2 linked regions of the Schizosaccharomyces pombe genome follow. Changing the gene in region 2 together with the main gene of any one other region gives a genetic interaction. Each region holds a gene or a part of one and is shown on either strand. Other genes may lie near its edges.

Region 1 (3,931 bases), on a different chromosome or scaffold from region 2:
AGACTTATGCAGCCGAGATTGCTTCCAATGTTTCTGCTCGCAAGCGTGTTGAGATTGTTGAGAAGGCTCGTGCTTTGGGTGTCAAAGTCACGAATGCCGGCGCTAAAGTTCGTTCTCAAGAATAAATTTAAAAAGCTATTCCAATCTCTCATAAAATTTAACATAAGTGGCCATGTAAAATGGGTAAATTCCCAATTTCGTAATAATGTCAAGTAAAATGTGTTGGTAATATAAGTATATTGTTCAGATTATTTGAGTCGTATTCAATTAGAATAAATAGTCTCGTACCTGCATTTACACGATATAAGTAAGTCGCACGTCTATCATCACGTGCAACCTATTATTCAAAACGGCATCTATTGTACTTATATTTTACTTAATTTGCTTTGCCATACTCAATTCAGCAACTTAATATTATTATTTTAGACCCAAGATTACCCTCGTGTATATAGACCCAAATAAACTCTATTCAACCTAGCTTTCCTTATATACACATATAATTTTTTTTTTAACTTTCGATTATTTGACCGATGGGGGATGGCTCGACGCTTGGTTTATACCACACATGACCTTGAAACTCCATAGTACTGGAGTCAGCTTGAGCTTCAATGTTATTTAAACGAACTGAAAATTTATTCAATTCCGTTTTCATTTGTTCTAATGTTATGTCTTCAAACTCTTGTTCGTCCAATATTCGGGAATCAAACATATCGCTGCGGTATTGAAACAAGGGAGAAAACTTATTTTCCAGCTCTTTATCTAGAATTGACAATTCATCAATAATTATCTTAGTGAAGGGATCACTTCTTTGAAGACATATTTCTAAAACGGAAGCCAAATCTGTTTGAGTCACAGATAAAGTACTGGTCCATGGCTGACCTGTATACGCTTCACGCATTAAATAAGCATACCATTTTGCTAAATAGCAACCAGCAGATTCTTTATCGGTTAATTCTTCTTTCTCCTTGAGGTCTAGAAATACCAAAGAATCAACGGTTTGGCTAATCTCTAAAATTTCAGACCACAAGGTTGTAAATAATGCAGGTAAAAAGAATGAATGCTTCGAAGCTATACTTTGTAACAGAGGCAGCCATACATTTTTAAGCTTTGGAAAAAAGCTGATTGGCATAGTTCTGGAGGGTATTAAAACACGCTTTTCCAAGAAACAGCTGACGACAATATCTAGATTTGTAGTCTCTATTGCAAAATCCAAATCTTTTTCATCATCGACGAAAGAAGCTGGGATATAAGGTAACCTCAGATTAGCTGTTGTTACCAACTCCTGTACTAATGCTTCAAATTGTTGAATATAGTCATGTTCCTCTACTGGTAGAAACATATTTGCAGAAACATTAACCTTTCTCCAGGAACGCCATTGTTTCAATAAGTCTTTGACTTTTCTTTTTATTTCGAACTTATGCAATTCATTAGTTTCGGTGTAGTCATATGTATCTTCGGATTCAGCTGTTGCAGCGGGATTCCAGTAGTGATCATAAAGCCATGATAATGCTCGTTGCGCAGCTTGTCTTAAAACAGGTAGAGAAGGAAGTTCTTCATGAGTAATGGCGTGTCTCAATTCGACAAAATAAGTAGGTAAATCAATTGATTTGGCTAAAACAGCCATTGGGATGGCGTACTGCGATTGCTGGATAGGATCCAACAAGCCACTTACAAATCTAGATATTGAAACAGCTAATGCTAGCTTTTGCGATCGGTCATTACTTATTAAAGATGAAACTAATTGCGACGTTGATTCCACTGAATGGGGAATACGACCTCGGGTTGACCAAGCCTGAATAATTTCAACACCTCTAAACAAAGCAGCTAAATCAGGTATTCCTTCTTGTCCTTCATTATAAAAGCAAGACATTAAGTAAAGGAAATCTTCCTTTAATCTCCATGGAACGACTTTCATGTCCATTTTTAAAAACTCATGACAAGTGTTGGTAGTTGGCTAAGCGATACTTTACTTATAGACATCACATACGAGAGGAAAATCCTGTATTAGCTTTTACAGTATATTATTGATACGATTTGGTAAAATTAATTAATTCATGTCTGGATATTTGGTATGCAAAAATGCACTTTGTTAACTATTCATTTCTGTCTCACTAACACTTGTAGTGTCAAACTTTAACTATTTGAAGCACTTTTATCACAAAGTAAATCGATATTTTATGATGGCTAAAATGTTTATAACCGGCAATAATATCTACAAACGAAAGGTGGTAACAGCATTGATATTTGCCTCAACCAGAAGATGTCGTATTTGAAATTGTATGTGAAACGTACGACCGTACGGATTCGTAACACAGATTGAAGGTATTATCAGTATGCAAATTAGGAAACGTGAAAATATTACTTAGACAAATACTGTGTCTGTCAAAATACTTGCGTTCCAATGTTGTATTACTTAATTTTTAAGTTCCAAGTCACCCAAAGAATCCGCAATGCGTTCTTTTTGATTCTTAGTTAAGTCAACTTTCCATTCTGGAAGAACATTTTTAACCTCGTCAGGGCAGTAAGTAGCAGCAAACAAGTTAGCTTCAGGATAACGTTGAGTAGATGTAAGTATATTGACGCATTCCGCTGGTTGATTTGTAAGCCATGAGCAGATGAAAGCTGTATTATTTATCTTTGTGGACTTAGTGAGTTGCGATAACTCTTTGAGACCCTCGTGATTGTTGGTTGCAGTATAAAGTAAAACCAAAGATCCATAATCTTTACCTTTCTCAAAGCATTCCTGAGCTAAAACAAAATCCCAAGCATTCAAGGCAGCATCACCCAAAGAACGCCATTTCAGAGGATCATCTAATTCTTGAGCAATTTGAGAAGCAATATCCAATCGTTGAGCGTCTAATGCAAGTTCAAACCGCTGTACAGAATCACCAGATAACTCTAATGCAGCTTCCTTGTATCCTAAACGGGACAAAAAGTCAGACAAACGAGGACGGTCTGTTTCAGAAATTTGCTCCAAAAGACCTTGAGCAGCCTCTAAATCGCCCTTTAGTACCAGTGATTGATATTCAATAATGGCAAGGTTGAAAGAGTAGCTCACTACATTCATATCACGATCCGTGAGGTAAATACGATCGTCACGTGGAATATAGCCAAGCAAATAAAAACTACTTTCAACGTTAGCGATTTTGTAAGTTTGGTCACCGATCAAGTAGTTTAGGCGAGCGGCAGTAGTTGTGTAAATGAAAGTTTCAGCAACCCATTTGCCATTTACTACGCTTTCAGAAACATCAGCAAGTGCTTCAAAGGAATCAGCAACACCTTCCTCTTCATCTGCTGTACCACTTTCCACAGCACTATAAAACATTTCAGCGTTAAAACCGAGAAGGTAAAAGTCATCATCACAAGCTAAAATTACAAATCTGCCATCATCATTCCAATAAACTCCTTTGGGTTTAACATCAATTTTACGAACTAAAATGCCAGTATCCCAATCATAGAAGCAAATAAAATCACTTCCCACAACTCCCAAGAGAAAGCCGCCAAAAATCTTGTCGCAAGAGTAGGACAAATCTAATCTATTGCTTTCTTTAAAATTCTTGTGAATTACGATTGAACGGTCCGATGTACGACTACCGTAGACATTAGAATCGGCAGACCAAGCAAAATCAAGTGCTTTGCCATAAGCTTTATTCCGCCAAGCAAGAGCTGTATAGACAATATACTCACCATTGCCACATACGGAAACAAATCTTCCATTCGGTGAATGTTTCAAAACAGCAGGATACAATTCCGTAGTACCCAATTCTTTCACAGAAAGACTGATAAGAGAGCCATCTGTAAGATCGCTCTGCTCTTTTGCCGGTCTAATCATAGCGGACATAACTTCATTATAGTTAGACCAAACAACTTTTCCTGATGAATCCATAGTAACAGAAGGCTCGTCACGGCCAAGAGAGAAAGTTATGAGTCC
Region 2 (3,931 bases):
GATCCCTTAAAAGCTGTGGCTATAGGTTGACAAGCTGTCAAACTTGTCGTAAAGTCCCACCTCTGTAAATTGCAATTGAAATACAGATAGGAAAGTAAGCCTAACATACGATTATCAGCAGAGGTAACCTTGTTAACGTTGGGATCAGGCAGATACTGCCAAGTTGATTCCAAGAGGGTAAGTTGAAACTCATCTCTGCTTGAAAGAAAATCAGGCATATATTCTTTGTGCTGGTAAATACTCTTTTTTTCACGATGACTTGATTTCATGTCTTCACGACTCATGTATACAACTTCTGTTGGTTGACATATATCAACAATAGAAGAAAGAAGCTCAGCACCACCCCCTCTGATCCAACCTGGACAATTTATTATCAAAGGAATAATCTCCTTTTGGGATATCTCTTGATTAAAAATATAATCTTTATATTCAGCAAAAAGACGAGTAACACAAGCAATGTAATGATCCGGATCTTTCTGGGGACTTATATCTCCGAGATGCAAACGTAACATGTAAGTAGGAAAGAGCATTCGGGCGAAAACAGGTCCTTGCAATGGTGAGTTAATATAATATAATGAAATGTGCCCAGAAGGTACGACTTCGGGTTGACCAGGGTCGAGGTCAAGATATGCAATGTGACGATACTGCTGTAAAAGCCTATTGGTGATGTATCGTGAAAAACTGCTTTTACCGGATCCTTTAGGTCCACAAACCATAAGACGAGGAACAACATAGTCTGACTTGGAAGTGGAAAACAGTAACTGGTTAGAAAAAGAACACCAAGACTCCGGAGTTATCTCAAAATTATTTGATATTGATGAGGCATCTTGCAAAAGATTCTTAAAAGAAAACAAACGCTTTGCAAATGGAAGGACACGAGCTATCTTAGAGAGACCATTTTCATTTTCTCTAAAAGCTATTACAGTTTCAAAATTTGGGAGAATATCTTTGGGCTCTAATTCATATTCATGCTCTTTTGGTGAGTAAGAGGGAACTGCAAAGGAACGAAGGTTAAGGGAATCTTCTTCATATTCGGAAATCTGCATAGCAGGTAATGCATTGTCTATAGCAGAAAATACTGGTGTCGCAAATGCTAACGGAGCATTTAAAGGAAACCAAGACATACAAGCTGAAGAATAGGTTGCACCAAAGAGCTGAAACTTCCCTCTAACGCTACGAAAAATGAAGGTACCAACCATTGCTAATTTTTGATCTTTATGTAATCCAACGTATAGCGTATCTTTAACCCTGAATGAATTTTCTTCCGTAATTTTAATCACCGGAATGGCATCGTTAGACGATTGTGGGCTATGTGGAACGTTTTCACTTACGGTTTCGTCGTCCAAGTTTAAAGGTAAACTCGGAGAAATCGTTTGAGGACTAGCAACTGAGAATTCAGAGTATTCCTGAGGATTAACCTTGGACCTATTTATATCAGGAGTTATTTCAGAATCATTCTTGGATGACTCTGAATGGAGCTTTGTTCTATGATCAACTCCTGGGACAACCACTTGTACGAGCGTGTGCTTGTAAGAAGGAAATTCGCCTTCAGTTTTCATTTCGTCTTCATATTTGTCTTGGCTTTCTTCTTCCGAAACGCTGCGCTTTTTCCCCGATGAATTGTCTTTCTTTCTGGCTGCTTTACTTAAAGTCAATTGACGCACAGCGAATGCACTGAGTGGAACTGTCATAGAACTGTTAGAATATTATCCTAGAAAAGATATAAGAGAGCCAATACTTAAGACTAACTAAGACACTTACCATTTGAGCTCTCAATACGTTGACGCTTGACCATTATGGTAGAAGCTTATTAAATAAATAACTAAGTTTTCCTTTTTTTTTTTAAAAGTGCAATTCACACGAATGTGAACAAGCAAGCGCTTTGGATCTTAATTCAATTAACAACAATCCACCATAAACTAACAATCAATAACAAAAGTTAATTTAGAAAATTTAGCTATGTTTTGTAAACAGATAATAAAATTTTTTCTTCTTATTGCACAGCGAGAAAGAGTAAATAGAGGAAATACCAAGTAAAGTACGATATCTGTAATTTGGGAAATAGTGATTAACGGTATATTTTTATAACAAAATGTAACAGCACGGTATTCCTTTTTTGGTAGTAACATAACGATAATACCAGCTTGCTTTAACTAGTAGCTTCTTATTAATATTGAAACAATGAAGAATTAATCGTTATACCTTGAAAAAAAGGAAAGAATATAATACTCGTTAAAAATCAGTTATTGAAGTTAATAGATATTTAGACTATAACTGTAGTGATAATTATAATTGGGACGAACACCCGAGTTTTTTTTATTCTATCAGTTGACCCAACAGTTAGGTTATGAACTGTTGCTTTCGATGTGGATAAAAGTATTAGAATATAAATCATTAGTCTCTTTGATTTATATATTGAAAATTTCCACAAAATATGTGTCAATCAAAGTCATATCGCCCACTCAGCTTATGCATCATTAGGAAACTCAACATAAAACCAGTATATACGTTTACTGCGTTATTAGATATTCACTATTGCAATGTGTCTTTAGGTTATTACTATAACAAACCATCGTTCTGAATCACAATATTTTATTATGCTATTCATTATTTTGTAAACATTAATTTTGTTTGAATTGAACCATTAAACAAAAAGAAAAAATGATAATTAAGCTTGATTCATTAAGAATCAAGATGAAGGAGAAATGAACGTAATAACGACAATGAAATTGTGAATTTAACAAGGCGGAACAACGAGTTTTTCGATTTCATTAGTTGATTTTAAGTTGTCGTAAACAATTTAAATCATTATTGTTTGTGACTTGAGTTCCATTAAAAAAGACAAATAATTAGACTCGCATACATAATAAATAAAGACTCGGTCCTCAATGCACTTTATCCAACATCGTAGAATACATTGGTTGGCAATTTTTGGTAATTGAAAGAATAAGTTAAGCATATATTCCATAACCTTATAGTGAAAGAGGATGATTAAAGAAAATTGGTGCTTATTTTTAAAAAAGCCGCAGCTTCTCTGCGTTGGTAATTTTGGTAAAGAGGTTTTCCAACTGGAGCGACAACTACATTAATAACGCAATTAGACTTCGCTTTCAACTTCCATTTCCCCCAAGGGAATGTCATTATTATCGTTGGCACCTCTAATCGCTCTCCCTGCACCTTCTAATCGGGTAAGTAAAGAATCATTCATACAGTTGGTTGAATACACATACCTAATATAAAAGCTATACCATTCCTGATAAATTTGGGCATCCTTTTGAGAGCACCTGGACATTCTGATACGATTAGAATAAATTACAGGAATATTAAACAAACCCATTTCGTAAAAGAAAAGAAAATTGCCTATAACAAAGAGTGAAGAGGCTACAATTTCGTAGCCTGTCCCGTCGATATGTTTGTCAAATAAATGCATCAAACCTTTCGTTACAATAACGACACAACTTTGTACACCTAGAACTTGAAAAAACCCAGAAAACATATGCTTAAGTGTCCAGAATGGAAGACGAACTGCGTGTTAGCGGTCAGTAATGGTAACTACATAACTTCACATACCATATAATAAAAATAAAAGTAAAGCAGCTGAAATACTGCATGTAGAACAGATGAGAGTCTTGTCTAAGTTCACATTACCGAATTTGACGCAACCAAAGAGTACAAAACAAATGACTACCCATAATAACCAGATTATTACAACCCATTTTTCCCTTGAGTTGTACAAGCCGACCGCAGTTACCTTGACACATTGTGCCACTGCCTGGTCCAAGTTTCAAAGAAGCCTAATGAGTTAGTGAATGAACGTAAGAATTGACCTATCGTGTCACTTACACCATAAAGAAATAAAAATCATCAGGCAAATAGCACACCACACTCCAAAATATACCCATTCATCTTTGCCATAATCTTTAAAGAGAGC

Evidence for each region.
Region 1: of grc3 (region 2) and las1, extra expression of one rescues a mutant of the other (dosage rescue), as found in Schizosaccharomyces pombe (one study listed by BioGRID).

The regions. Positions count from the first base shown.
Region 1 is NC_003423.3:4,352,155-4,356,085, forward strand, and holds las1 (rixosome complex/ Las1 complex endonuclease Las1), read right to left. Parts: upstream 1,957-3,931; 5' UTR 1,922-1,956; coding exon 509-1,921; 3' UTR 389-508; downstream 1-388. Other genes in the region: rpl3201 (60S ribosomal protein L32), read left to right, coding at 1-125; sec27 (coatomer beta' subunit protein), read right to left, coding at 2,414-3,931. UniProt on the Schizosaccharomyces pombe protein: Required for both pre-rRNA processing and heterochromatic gene silencing.
Region 2 is NC_003421.2:2,181,671-2,185,601, reverse strand, and holds the start of grc3 (polynucleotide kinase Grc3), read right to left. Parts: upstream 2,003-3,931; 5' UTR 1,796-2,002; coding exon 1,762-1,795; exon of another isoform or gene 1,685-1,761; coding exon 1-1,684. UniProt on the Schizosaccharomyces pombe protein: Polynucleotide 5'-kinase required for both rRNA processing and heterochromatic gene silencing.